Saccharomyces cerevisiae S288C: one gene and its partner. The protein of the gene in region 1 interacts with the protein of each later gene in a biochemical or structural test. Each region holds a gene or a part of one and is shown in the gene's direction. Other genes may lie near its edges.

Region 1 (9,620 bases):
AAAGGTCAGAAATCAAATAAATTGGTGTATCAACAATTACTTCATAATGCCTTATGATTTTTGAGCTACCACTATCAGTTTTGCTAACCCTCAAGACGATTTCTAATTTATGAGAACATTGGATATTCTTAAAATGCATACTGTCCAAATATAAACCGCGTCTTGGTTTATTCAACCGTGTGTAGTGCTGAATGGGAACATTCGAGCTAGTTTGCAAAGATGTATTCGAGTTTCCATTTGTATCATTGACCTCATTATGATTCTTGTCTTGCGGTATTTTATGAACTGTCTTGGAAGCCCTGTTAGGGCGACCCACTAGAAAGCCCAATACATTGCCGTTATTAGAGGTGTTCTCACTCTGAGTTGGATCTTTTATTGGGTCGAAAAGATCGATACCATATGGTGGTAGACTTGCAGCTTTGGTAGCGTCCACTTCACAATATTTTGGAAATTTTAACTTCGTTTTAACAGTAAAGGACTCAGAAAATGGGATATCTTTGTTGTTTTCTTTTGATGAAGTGTAGGCTAATAAGTTATCATCAACTGTATTGGTGACAACTTCCTCTCTAATAGAAGGCCCACTAGTACATTTAGAGGCCACCTCAAATAGAGGCAAGCTTCTGTCCTTCTTTTTTCTCACTAAATATCTCATATGATAGGGATTGCAAGGATCTGAAGCCAATGGATCCAACTGGTCAAAATCATATTGATAGTCTTTACTCCTGTAGGAGATTTTTTCTCTACAACTAACACGAATTCTCTTGACACTAAGACTTTTTACTAGAGGTGCCACTTTAATTGTGATTGGAATTTCACCATTCAAGGGCACATACTTTTGGGCGAATGAAATTTCATAAGAAAGACAATTCTCCCAAACCTTGTTAATGTAAAGTGGCTTATTTGCTGTAGTGACAGAGATTTCTGGCGGAGTTCTCACCAAATTAAGCGGGTACTGTAAATTTATAGTGTCTTCAGAATCATGTTGCATCGCTAAACCACTAGAAGATGCGCCATTATTATCTGACCTTCCGTTAGAATTATTCCTTTTTAAGCGCCCCTTCGCACTTTTTAACCATGAGGAGGGAAATGCGATTTTTCCAGTAGAATTTTTGTCGTTATTGTAGGTTTCTCCTTCTATGGTGTCATCAATTTGAGAATATTCATAAGAATCAGAACAGGAATATGAACGCAGTTTTTGAGGAGAAGAGATAGAAGAAGAACGTGGCCGTGATGCAACCAACTGTGTATGTTCATCCTTCAATTTTGTCGCTAATCTTAAGCTGTAGGATACCCTCGCTGATGGGTAGTAAAGCGATTCAGGAATACGACTGGCAAGCACTATGGGGATAGTAAAGACATAAACACCAGCATTTAACTTGTTCGTAGAATTCGAGGCATTTAAATTGTTTAATATATTTTCCCTAAGAACTGCTTTATTCGAGAAAGAACGGCGTTTCCTCATCGATAATTTCTGGAGCACTTTCAATTTCCTGTTATTGGAATGATTTTCAACGATATCAAGAGGAGACTTTGCGCCTTGCGGAATGAAAAGATTAAAGTTGTCTGCATTTAAGGTCCAGTCCAAAGAACCTATATTATAGCATTCCTCGTTAACATTCTTGGTAGGGGGAAGACCATTGAACCACACCACTCTCACGTTAGAAGTGAGTTCTACTTTAATATCAGAAAGGGTAGTTGATTTATTCAGGGAAAATATCAATGCAAAGCTGAATGAAGGCATTTGGCTATTCCAAGCATTAGGAAGAGAACGCGAGTGAGAATTAGGATGTCTGTTTCTCGCGGGAGAATTGTTATTATTCATAGGGTTGTTATTGCCACTCGCAACAAAGGAATCCGCATCTGTTGTGTTATTGTTCGAGGCCGGAGAAGCACGATCAGAATTGCTTGTATCCATAGCATTACCTGTCCTTGCTGTATTAGAGGGGCTGGTTCGCTGTGTATGTAACGGAAATAGTGATAAATCATTGTTTTCATTCAAAGTGTCCATCGTAGGACATGAAGGGAGGAAATCACTTTCTGCAGTGTTAGTGGACCCGACAGGCTGTGTTCGCGCCTGATTTAAAGAACCATGAATCAGTGATAGATACTCTGTTTCATCACTTTTTGTAGTTGGCAAGAAAACTGATTCTGCACTTGTTGCAATGGAAATTTCCAGCACACTTTTCTTATTATATAACGGTGTTTGCTTGATGAAACCACGATCCGCTAAATAGTCCGATAGCACCCTATTAATAAACATAGTGCTATTACTAGCATGATGTGTTATGAATGACCTAACAATATCATTATTACTAGATATTTGTTTTGCCGCGACTGGATCTGACTCTCTCCTCAACCCGGTGTCTTGCCTTGTGTGTAACTGGTCTATGGTGGTATACGGAACAGAATTCCTGTGCCTATCCGGTTGGTAAGATCCCGTAATATTGTAAGCCTTAGTGCCAACATCTGAAGGAAAACTGTTCCCCCTACACATGGCAGTTGATGCGGTAGAATAGTTACGGTTCATCAAATTGGAATAATCGTCCATACTAGATGTTGGACTATTACCAGTTCCAAAAAAAGAAGAAAGGGCGTCCCTAACACTAGATGACCTCCTTCTACCACTAAATCCTGACGATTTTTGTGGCGAGAGGGAGGTAGAAATCATCTCTCTGTTACGGGCTAGCCTTTGCAATATATCACCCTCGTCGCCTGCAGAAACGTTCTGGACGACATCTCTCTTGTTGCCGTTGCTCGCAATTGCTATTGGGACAGTAGATTGCATGATTGACTTTGCTTACTAGTCTGACTGATTACCCTTGGAGAGCCATCATAATAAATAAAACAGAGAAACGACGATATATATAGTCCAAACCGTGACAACTATGCAGGGAACGGGAGACGGGATTCAATAAGCCGGGGGTCTTTTCCATGTGATACCGAGTAAGGCATAGCCATCATTTGGCAGATCTACAAAATAAAGAAGCCCAGGGTTTGGCCGTGCAGAATCGCTGCGCCAACCCCGGATTTTGCATTTCTTATTCCACTAGGGCTGGTCGTGGGGTACGTGGGGAGCGGTATCCCTTAAAATGAAAAAAAAGAAACTATACCACCCACGCATCCAAACGACCGGGCGAGCGGGTAATAGATGGTTCTATTCTTTAGCCGCCGAAGCTTTCTTCTCTATATACATGTAAATGTATATAATTCCGGAAGTGTGGTCCTGCTACGAACAACACAAACCGATTAATTGATAATGGAAAGAGGAATGAGGTTGGGACAAGTAATACCAACTGGGGCTACAGGAAGGTGGTGAAAGAGGGTATCACATATAAGAACAAACCGTTTATTCGATTATTTAAATCTATTTTAGGCCACGAAGGTAGAGAGGTTGCGAGTGAAAACAACTAACTTTCTTTACGATATTTCTCAATTGGAACTGACAGCGTTAAAGTCCATATTTTGCTACTGATTGCTTTTCTTTGGTGTTATCTACCTTAAGAGAAAAAAAATTCAAATGAAGATTACCCGACTCTGAGTTTTGACGTCCTTAGCTGTTTGTATTCACTGAATTTAGTGGGCTTGGCCATATGAGAATTACAACTAAATCATACTTTTTCGAGATTTTATACTGCTAATATTGGAGAAGAAATATTGACCATCTTGATTTAGCAACGAGAAAGACCTGAACACCATAATGGGCTCTTCGTTGAGAAGCTTTATCAAAGACGTTCGTGGTGCCAAAACACTGGCAGATGAAAGGGCAATTATAACGAAACAATCTGCTAAAATTAGGACAAAATTGAGAGATGACCATCTACCACATGAAAAAAGGCGAGTAAATATCCAGAAACTTCTGTATCTATACATTCTAGGGGAAAAGACACATTTCGGTCAGGTGGAGTCTATCAATTTAATTGCTTCTGACGATTTTGTCGATAAAAGATTAGGCTATCTGGCCGCAACTTTATTGTTGGACGAATCTGAAGATTTATTGACACTCTTAACGAACATGTTGAACAACGATTTGCATCATCCCAACAAATATGCAGTGTCACTTGCACTAACCTCATTAGGCTTTTTGAGCTCCCCTGAATTAGCCAGAGATTTATACCCAGACGTCGAAAATATCATCAAAAATTCAAGAGACCCTTTCCTCTTGAAAAAAGCGCTTCAATGTGCTGCCAAACTAATTTTCAAAGACGTTTCACTTTTAGAAATCTTCAACATCGAAGACATTACTAAGATATTGTCTAGTCATTCAATATGTACTCACGGTGTACTTTTAGGCGTTACGAAAATCATACAATCTATTTTGTTAATTGGATTGAACAGAAAAAAAGATGAGGATGAAGATGAAGACGGTATTGATTACAGCAATGACATCTTGTCTCCATTATCTTTACTTTTGCGTGATTTTTTCATTCGTTTGGAAAATATGAATTCTAAAAATATTGAACCTGGATATGATGTCCAAGGTATTTGTGACCCATTTCTGCAGTGTGAAATAATTTACACTTTAAAACTATACTTTCAAGTTGGTGAGCTCTTAAATTCGAACAATGTTTTGGACTACAAAGATAATTTCTGCGATTTATTGACTCGTATTGCGACGAATACGGATTCAACGAAAAACAGCGGACAGGCCATTCTTTATGAGACCGTGAAGACGATCTTTTCGTTGGATTTGAACCAGCCTCTACGTGTCCTTGGTATTAACATCTTGGCCAAGTTTCTTGCAGGAAAAGATAATAATACTAAATACGTTTCATTAAACACCTTATTAAAAGTTGTTCCCCAAGAGCCTACCGCAGTACAAAGGCATAGAAAATTCATTTCTCATTGTCTGCAGGATACCGATGTGTCGATCCGCATGAGAGCGTTAGAGTTGAGCTTCGCCATCTTGGACGATTCAAATTTAGTGGAATTGGTTAACGAATTGATGAAATTTTTGGCAAAACAGGATGAAGATTCAAAAGATCTCATAATATACACTATAGATCACTTAATTGACACTTTTGATACCCGCGTTGTCAAAGATGAAAGCTGGAAATTAGATGTTTTCTTTAATATCTTAAAATTAGTGGGATCGTTTATCAACTATGAAAAAATTAATGATATTCTAATCATAATAAATAATACGAGCCAGTTATCCGACAAATCTGAATTTTTACGGAAAATGCTGACAATTTCACTAAATGGAACATCAGCGGAGATTTCCGAGGAAAATATTGGTTGGCAGTTGGTTTTGATTTGGTGCATTGGCGAATATGGCGATTTAGTACTCAACGAGGGCAATAAAAATGGTGCAGACATAATCAATGAGTCATCTATTACTGATTACTTACTAACTTTGCAAGAACTCTACACAGCAACGAATCTGAAGATAATCAATTACATTTTAACAGCAGCATTAAAATTATCTGTGAGGTTCCATGACGCGAAAAATATTGAAAAACTAAGACAACTGATATTGAGCTACACGGATTCCACTGATTTATCACTGCAAATGAAAAGCAATCAATACGAGATATTTTTCAATCAGTCAATTTCTGTGAAGAAGATCATTTTAGAAACAATGCCTAAATTTGAAAAAATTACCGAGGAACAGGATAATGGAAAAGCTCTATCGAAAAACCTTATCTCCAACGAACCAGTTGATCTGCTGTCAGATTTATTGGGTGAGGATAGCAAGGCTGAAAGCAAGGCTTCTACTGGTGACAATGTGAAACCAATTGACATATTAGAAGAGATTTTTGGAGAGAAGAATGACATTGCTCAGGTGCCCAAAAATGCGAACAAGGAAGAATCAATCAATCATTCGTCGGCAGTGGAGGCAAACTCAGGTGTCACCTTACCATTGGATGCCAACAAGATATATGACAGTTCCTCACTGAATGTATATGCTTCCTTGCTCTCTGCAAACTCTGGATTAGCACATTTGGATTTATATTTTCAGGCAAAGTCTTTAATATCTGACTTAAAAACTTTCTGTGCCGTTCCTAAAGCTCAAAAGCTAACACTAGGCCAGTTATATCCATCTTCCACAATAAACGCCAGCCAAATTTGCAAGCAGTCATTGAAAATTTCTGGATCTGGGAAACTGAAGTTAAGAGTTAAGTTGGATTTTCATTTAAATGGCTCTTCATCTATCACCAATGAACAGTTCGATCACAAATTCGATGAAACTCTATAAAAAATGCCTTTAAAATTACAGAACATAACATGATTAATGACCTTGCGTTGGATGGTCTGTCGCGCATATCAAGAGACACGTCACGACACAACACGATGAATAGAAATGCTATCTTCTGGGACACCATAAACGACTCCAAAATATTTTATATGTTAAGTAGCGATATATAACAACTAATAACATATGTACTTATATGCTCTCAATAGAATAGATAACAAAGAGAACAAAAACGAGAGTTTGATTTGAGGATATAGGTGAGTTGCCTCTTAATGAACAGAAGCACCTGTAGCCTTAGAAGCCTCATTGACGGAAGCTCTAATTTCATCCTTTTCTGTCTTGCTAACATCTCTTAGGATATATCTGTCGGTCAATGGGGCTACGATCTTTTGATAGATCATTCTAGCGCCACCAGTTTGAGGCAAGGCAATGTAGATTAAGAAAACGGTTTTCAAAAACCAGTAGAATGGAATCAAATATAGAATTGCCTTGGACCAGAATTCAATGACACTCAAAAATGAAAAGACAATCCAGTAGGTCAAGAGTTGTGTGTCATCGGTGGACGTTGGTGTCTTCAAAGCAACCAACGATAAATATGCTGGCAACACAAACCCAGCAAAATTGGAAAGAATTTCACCTACACCTCCGACGTTAATAAAAATCAAAAGGAGATAAGCGAAACCTAAACCAGCAACTAAATAAGATTTAGGCAAATTAGTTTTATTTTCTAATTGCTGTAAAATTCTATTACCAGAGTACTTCTGTAGAAAAAAATGTAGCAAGGAGGGTGAAAATTAGCTTTCTTGTTAGTATAACTGCTTCGGTTACGTGTGTCGGGTCATTTGGCTGTTTGAACCATGATGACGATGGAACCAATAAAACCATCTTACATACGGTATCGAATTGTTTCATTTGAGAGTGAATACTAGATGCATATTCGGACATGATTGGAGTGCGGTTATGTCTTTGTTTATTTGTTTTCACTACCAATTGCAATTTTAGATTCTTTCTTTCGGAATAACAAGCTTCAAGGGAATGTTTTTTAGTTTTAAATCAAAAAAAATTTTGAAGGACATATTTTTTTTTTTTTCGTTCAACCTTGAAAGGGGTTACGCATACTCCCTTTGACGTGGACAAGAAGAGAGAATAACGGCGCTAAGAAAGCGAACCACGAAAATTCGAGAATGGTGATAAAAAAATAAAGGTTAGAATGCCACACAGCCTTCCAAAGAGTGAATGAAAATCTTTTGACTTGATGTAGTTTTTTTTTTTTCAGGAGGAAGTTTAATCCGGATTGTGATTAAATCAGTACTGCCCCTCCAGCAGCCATATAACCTACTTACTGCGTAACTAGTAATTGCGCTCACCCATCCTATCTATGCAACTCTTCTGAAGGTCTTCTCAAGCACTTAATTTTTGTTTTTCAGGAGATTGACAGGGTTTGTCGCTTGTCTTGGCACTCATTCCAGCACTGATTGGGCAGCTAGTTTGAAGAGTTGCACCAATAAATTAGAACCTCATTAAAGTCATGAATGGACGAGCAAGTAGCAAGTCTTATAAATACTTGAAAACGTGCATGTGATGATGGCATCGCTCCCTGTTGAATTTCTTTTTTTCCGTTGGAAGGTGCACTTGTTGAGCGCATTAAAGTTTTATAAAGCATAGTATTCAGGCTCAAAATAAAAGGGGACAAAACAAAACGTGCCGGTGAAACATATATGTCTTGAGAAAATTATTATAATGTTGTCTTCGTCTCTTACTTTTAGAATGTACTCTTTAAAAGTTAGACGCTTGGACCATTTATAAAGCACAAGAATGCTTGTTTATTTCATTCTGATATGCGGATTTAGCTCAGTTGGGAGAGCGCCAGACTGAAGAAAAAACTTCGGTCAAGTTATCTGGAGGTCCTGTGTTCGATCCACAGAATTCGCATTTATTTTTTCGACCTGCCAACTGCGGAAAGTTGGTTCTTGAACTTGACTGCTCCTTCTCTTATGGAAATATCAATGAAAATATAGACTCAAGTAGGAAGATGAAGGAGTTTTTCAACTTGAATGTCTGACTTTTTTTCAAAATTTTCTTACGCCATTGGCCATCTTTTAATGTCTCCAACAAAAAACCAATAACGGATAATCAATATAAGCGTTGGAAAAGAATTTATCACGGCCAAAATTGTTCCCGTTAAAAGTTCGAAGTTTTAGGGACATAAATTTGTCTAAAACTCATGGAAGCACACTTTGCTTCCATTACGTATTGTATAATATTTCCTACTATATCGTGGACTGATACTTTCTTGAGATATCTACATACTTTCTCCGTCAGAGTCAGTCATCCCACCTCAGAGTTTACTAAAAGAGGTCAAAAAGAGGGAAGCAGACAGACTAAGGTAGATGTCCAAAGTTGACAAATAAATATCTGGCTCCACAGTTTTTCAAAATCTCTTGATGATCCCTTGCATTTAAAGGACCGTTATTTGCCGACTACGGACAGAGAAGTTAAATCTGAAAAGAAATGAAAGAAGTGTACAATGACAACAAAAACGATGAAGTAACGTCTTTTTTTTTTTTTGATTACTCCCAAATTCAGTTCCCCCGTTCTTGAATTGGACTACCGATGTTTATGAGCTGGGCATTTTCTCAGGAATTATATAGTATGTTAAGTGTGTAACAAATTGAGATGAATATATACGTGCTGGCTTACGCATTATGAAACACACTAGTAGAATAAGTGTTTCGGATGGGAAGTTTATTGATACTAAACCTAACGTGTCTTCCAAACGAACAAATAATAATGTAGGTTTCAAATTATATCAGCGACTAACTTCGGCGGCTATATGGACAGTCACTAAAGTGTTTTGAAGATGTTTTCTTTCTGTGGTCACGACGGTAGCCTCAACTGCCTAGAAATTTACAAAACAAAATAGTTTACAAAATTAAAGCACTTTTCAAGCGCCGTGCATATTAGTTTTTGTGGTACTGAAAGTTCGGTTACATGATGTGCGGCAAACAACTTTTTGATGTTGGCTAGCAGATCGAGATTCTGTTGATGATGGCAACGTTGAAAAAGCGTTGATCACAAGAATTAGAAAGTACTAATTTTCCATTACTTCTAACTAAAGAGGGAATTACCATTAGTGTAATTCACAAACATTTGTAAAAAAACAATCATCATAACGTACTATTCATAAACATATAAAGCGCCAGATAAAAAGAAATGGTTGGTATTTACAGAATACTTGCTTCGTTCGTCCCACTCCTGGGTCTTCTTTTTGCATTCCATGATGATGACATGATAGATACTGTTACAATCATCAAAACTGTATATGAAACGGTGACATCAACTTCTACTGCACCTGCACCTGCCGCTACAAAATCTGTTAGTGAAAAGAAACTGGATGACACTAAACTAACACTTCAAGTAATTCAAA
Region 2 (5,804 bases), on another chromosome or scaffold:
TAAAGGTAAAGAATGCAGAACTTTATGGCGCTTCCAGTGTCATTATATATACAGACCCATTTGACGATGGTAAAGTTACTGAGGAAAATGGGTTTTTACACTATCCTTATGGACCAGCAAGAAACCCAAGTTATATTAGGAGAGATTCTGTAAACTATTTCAGTGACACTCCAGGAGATCCGACAACTCCAGGGTATCCCTCCAAGGATTCCGACACTGAACATATGTCACCGGTAGGGAGAGTGCCGAGGATACCATCGGTGCCGATGAGTGCTAGAGATGTCCAACCAATTTTAGAAAGATTGAATGGCAGGGGTTTTCAAATTGGGCCCGGTAGTAATATAAAAGATTTTGGATCATTCACTGGACCTTCAAGCTCTATCGATAAAGTCCATTTGCATAATGAGCTAACTTACAACATCAAGGAAATGAGTAGTGTAGAGGTTAGTATCCCTGGTATATTCACTGAGGGGGAGATTATTATCGGAGCTCATAGGGATTCGCTCGCCTCGAGTAGCGCCGGTGATGCAAATAGTGGCAGCGCTATTCTTTTAGAAATTGCACGAGGAATGAGTAAATTACTTAAGCATGGTTGGAAGCCACTGCGTCCTATCAAACTAATAAGTTGGGATGGTGAACGATCCGGCCTTCTGGGATCTACAGATTATGCAGAAGCTCATGCTGCGATTCTCAGGAGAAGGGCCTTGGTATACCTAAATCTAGATAATGCAATCTCTGGGACAAATTTTCACTGTAAAGCCAACCCACTTTTACAAGACGTGATATACGAAGCTGCTAAGCTCACGGAATTTAATGGGCACGAAGACTGGTCATTGTTCGACCATTGGAAATACACTTCTAATGCCACTATTTCTCTACTTGATGGGTTGTCTAGTTACACTTCATTTCAGTACCATCTTGGAGTGCCCGCTGCACATTTTCAGTTTAATGCCAATGATACTTCAGGCGCAGTCTATCATAGTAACTCCGTATTCGATAGCCCAACTTGGTTGGAAAAATTTACCAATTCTGACTACAAGTTACACAACACCATGGCCATGTTTGTAGGTTTGACAACGCTGATGCTGAGTGAAAACGAACTGGCAAGATTCAATACACATGTTTACCTGAAGAAAATATATAACTGGTATATCGCATGGCACTCTAATCTATCTTCAGCATTTCCCCAGGACGATGAAGTGAACAGCTTAGCAAAAAGGGTTCTGGACTTATTAAAAGTTGCCACACAGGAAGATAGCATCCAATTTGACCAACAAAATGGTATTCTCTATAAAGAGTGTAGGGAAGCTTTACCTGTTTGGGCTTTTTACAAAAAAATCAAGAGCTATATTAAACTGCAACGATCCAATAGCAAATCAAAGCAAATTGATCAATTATTTATTACACACAGAGGACTGAAAGACAGGGAATGGATGAAGTACTCTCTTTTAGCACCTAGTAAGTTTGAGGGATCTGTCGGGGAAGTTTTGCCCGGCCTTCACGAAGGATTGGCTGATATTGATAGAAACGAGGTCATTCAGTGGTTAACCATTTTGCTAAGCCAATTCAGCAACGTTCGCTATTTACTTCAATAAGCATTTAAGTACCTCACCTCAGTATATACATTTATTTTATTTGCATACGTAGAGTGACTTTGAATAATAACCATGAGAGGCTTTTTTGTATATACTCTATAAACATGGCTTCAATTTCTTATACATGTCACACCGTACGTTGTGCGAGGTGATTAGGAAAAGTAAAAGGGGACTAGAAGAATCATGAAATGATTTGTAGATACAGTTATTTGAGGAAAGCAAAAATTACCAATTCAGGAAGGTGTAGGGACGTCGATAGGAGATCACATCGTTAATTAGTGTTAGGAAGAATGAGTTTAGAGGATACATTAGCCAACATGTCATTATATGACGCCAAGAAATATTTTCGTAAAGCTCAAAATGTTGTTTTCAATTATACTGAGATGGAGGGGAAAGTTCGTGAAGCGACAAACAACGAGCCTTGGGGTGCCTCATCCACTTTAATGGACCAGATTTCTCAAGGAACTTACAATTTCAGGGAAAGAGAAGAAATTTTGTCCATGATATTCAGAAGGTTCACTGAAAAGGCAGGTAGTGAGTGGAGGCAAATTTATAAAGCCTTGCAATTGCTCGATTACCTTATCAAACACGGTTCTGAAAGGTTTATCGATGATACAAGGAATAGCATTAACTTAATTAGGATTTTAGAAACTTTTCACTATATTGATTCCCAGGGAAGAGATCAAGGAATTAATGTCAGAACTAGGGTCAAAGCTTTGATTGAATTATTGAGCGACGATAATAAGATACGCGCAGAAAGAAAAAAGGCAAGAGAAACGGCAAAGAAGTACAAGGGCGTTGCTGGAGGATCTGCCTCTGCTGATGGCAGTTTGAATTCGAAGGCAGGTTTCACGTCAACGAAAGTGCACGGCATTAGCGTGAGTGCTGATTTCGATAGTGACAATGAAGATAACGAAGATGGTTCTTTTAGTCAAAATGGATATAACGATAATGCCTCGAGAGCCACATCTACTCCTGGGCAAGGAAAACAAGAACCAGAGGACTTTGTTGACTTTTTTTCTAGTGAGTCTTCAAAACCATCTAAAGAACTCATACAAGAAGATGAAAAGAAGGCGGACGAAGAAGAGGACGATGATGACGAGTTTTCAGAATTTCAAAGCGCCGTCCCTGTTACCAACCCTGCTAATTCGTTTAACTTGCTAAACACGAGCCCAATTGAGGGTATGCCCGCCACCACGAGTTCAATGCCTTTTTATAACAGCTCCACTACCGACCAAGGCAAGATTACCCCAGCTATTGCGGAACCTAAAAAAGTAGATCCTTTTAGCTCTCTCTTTTCAACTGCAAAGGCATCTGCAGAAGCACCTAGTGCTCCTAAAGCATCCCAAGCGAAAGCCGCTGCCTCTAATCCTGTATCTAATAGCACAACTGCACTAAGTACAGATCAAGATGATGATGACGAATTTGGTGAAATGCATGGTGGAGCTGTTCAACAAGAACAGAATACCAATAATAACCATACATCATCCAAAGAAATCGATTTACTTTCCTTTTGAGTGATATTATTGGTTTACACAATATGTAAATGTTTTATAACAATAGAAAGTACTTTGTAACAGGTATTACGAACATTACTATCTAATCTCCACTGTATTTCTCCTTTATATGTTTGTCTTGATTTCGTGAAATAGTTTGTGAACATTTTTTTGATCTTTTTTTCGTAAAGAAGGGCCCTTTTCAAATTTATTTACATTTTGGTCATTTGAAAATACTTTACTTAAAAAGACGAGGAAGAAACTGTAAATCCATAGTTCGAGAGTTGAAGTGCCCTTCAAAACAAAAACTCCTGACTTTTTTTGCTCATTTTTAGTCAATGAACTAAAACTCACCTTCCTTCTCGTTTATTTTTGCCTAGCATTATAGAGCAATTATAACTATATATTAAAGTTGACGCACCGAAAAAAAAGGCACGAAAGAAAACTCTACTAATTTTTCACATCTCGAAAAAGCTCATTGCAGAAGGATTTACCAATATTTCTAAAGTTAACGTAACCATGGCACCGGAAATTTTTGTTAAATTCAAGTGTGCAAGTAGAGACATAAAGCTACTATGGGCGTCCGTCTTTCTTAGACTTCTATCATATGGTTTAACAAATCAAGTTTTGACGCTTTTTTTAAATGCCATCAATATGACAGAGGATAAAATTGGGCTGTTTATGTCATTAACACTGGCAGGGGATGTAATTTGCTCTTACATTCTTACTTGGTATGCGGATTCCTGGGGCCGAAGAAGAGTCCTAGTTTATGGTTGTGCAATGATGTTGTTAAGTGGGTTGGTTTTCAGTTTTAGCGAAAATTTCACCCTCTTGCTAGTATTTGCTATCTTCGGTGTTATATCGCCTTCAAGTGATGAAGTCGGGCCTTTCAAATCTATAGAAGAGGCCATGATTGCACATCTGAGTCCTCATAATGCAAGACCAGAGATTTATGCTATTCACGCCTTGGTTGGAACAATTGGAAGCGCTCTAGGTGCAATAATTTGTGGTATATTTGTAGATCTTTTGAAAAGAACTGGTTTAGCTGCTACTGATTTGCAATGTTATAAATTAGTTTTCTTACTGTATGCCTTCTTCGCCTTTTGCAAAATGGTCATCATGCTCTTATTATCAGATGCTACAGAATTGGACGGGCATTATGAACATACAGATTGCAATGAAGAAACAGCTGAACCATTGGACGTTAACGATGAAACTGCACCATTAATGAGACAAGCAACTCACCCAGAAGAAAGATCCAACAAACTATCTAAGGAGACCGTTTCGGTTTTGATGAAATTGTTAGTAATCTTCATGGTCGACTCTCTCGGGTCCGGGTTTATGACAAGTGGCTGGATGGTTTACTACTATAGTAAGCAATTTTTGATGGGATCTCTGGCGTTGGGTACTTTATTTTTCATCACGCAACTGGTTATGGCATCTTCCACCATCCCATCATCAATAATTGCCAGATGTTTTGGCCCAGTAAGAGCCACACTATTGGTCCAAATTCCATCAGGGATATTTTCTATTCTCATCCCTATGGCCAAGAATTACTTGCCCTTATCTATTTTGTTTTTGAATCTGCATTTTGCAACAACTGCCATGGACGTTACACCAAGGCAAATTCTATTAACAAATATCATCAAACCAAGAGATTTAACCAAAGTTATGGGGGTGGTCAACATTGGAAAGACATTTGCTCGGTGTGTTGGTCCAATATTCACGGGTATACTTGCTAACAATAATTATTTATGGCTATGTTACATCATTAGTGGGTCCTTGGTGATAACGGCGGATCTAATACTGGCATGCATGTTTTTAGGAGTGGACGCTAAAATTAAAAAGCAAATGAACCGCCATTAATGCAGCAGCAAATGTAGAGTGACTTAGAAACATGTGTAGATCATTTCAAGGAAACGTTACGTTTAGAGACAATGTAAATAGTACCCAGTTAAAGTATCTGACACACGAGGAAGTACAACCAATAGCATTTATATTTACTTGATAGATTTGCGTAAGATATATTATTTAAAAATTGATAGTCCTATTTTTTTTTACATCAAAAGATAAGATTGTATTATGTTATAAATTTAAACAATAGAGTGTACAAAGAAGATAAAAGTAATAATAAGAAAAACATATGTAATATTGAAAATCTTTCACTTTTTTTAGCTTCTTAACGGTTAGACTTGGCAACACGTTCCAATTCATCCTTCTTCTTGATAGCGTAAGAAGTAGAGGAACCCTTAGCAGCATTGATCAATTCTTCGGCCAAAGTTTCAGCAATGGTCTTGATGTTTCTGAAAGCAGCTTCTCTGGCACCAATGGTCAACAAAGCAATAGCTTGGTTAACTCTTCTCAATGGAGAAACATCGACAGCTTGACGTCTAGCAGCACCACCACCACCGACTCTGGTGGTGTCTTCTCTTGGACCAGTGTTGGTGATAGCGTCAACAACAACTTGGATTGGGTTTTGGTCAGTCAAGACATTGATGATGTCCAAAGTGTGCTTGATGATTCTAACAGCCTTTAATTTCTTACCGTTGTTTCTACCGTTCATCATCAAGGAGTTGGTCAATCTTTCAATGATTGGACATTGAGCCTTTCTGAATCTCTTGTTGGCGTAACGACCAGCGGTGTGAGCAACAAAGATTGGTTGTCTAACTTGAACGTAGTCAACCAAAGAAGCATCCTTAACTTCAACTTCTTC

What was found. The genes of interacting proteins can lie anywhere in the genome.
Region 2: the proteins of APL4 (region 1) and ENT3 form a complex in vitro, tested with the Saccharomyces cerevisiae proteins (2 studies listed by BioGRID).

The regions. Positions count from the first base shown.
Region 1 is NC_001148.4:621,045-630,664, reverse strand, and holds APL4 (AP-1 complex subunit gamma), read left to right. Parts: upstream 1-3,697; coding exon 3,698-6,196; downstream 6,197-9,620. Other genes in the region: CSR2 (Csr2p), read right to left, coding at 1-2,785; YOP1 (Yop1p), read right to left, coding at 6,463-6,954, 7,088-7,138; YPR027C (uncharacterized protein), read left to right, coding at 9,407-9,620. UniProt on the Saccharomyces cerevisiae protein: Adaptins are components of the adapter complexes which link clathrin to receptors in coated vesicles. Clathrin-associated protein complexes are believed to interact with the cytoplasmic tails of membrane proteins, leading to their selection and concentration.
Region 2 is NC_001142.9:652,045-657,848, reverse strand, and holds ENT3 (Ent3p), read left to right. Parts: upstream 1-1,885; coding exon 1,886-3,112; downstream 3,113-5,804. Other genes in the region: VPS70 (putative zinc metalloprotease), read left to right, coding at 1-1,595; YJR124C (uncharacterized protein), read left to right, coding at 3,611-4,957; 40S ribosomal protein uS7 RPS5, read right to left, coding at 5,271-5,804. UniProt on the Saccharomyces cerevisiae protein: Involved in the recruitment of clathrin to the Golgi network and endosomes to form clathrin coated vesicles. Plays a role in the trafficking of clathrin between the Golgi network and endosomes.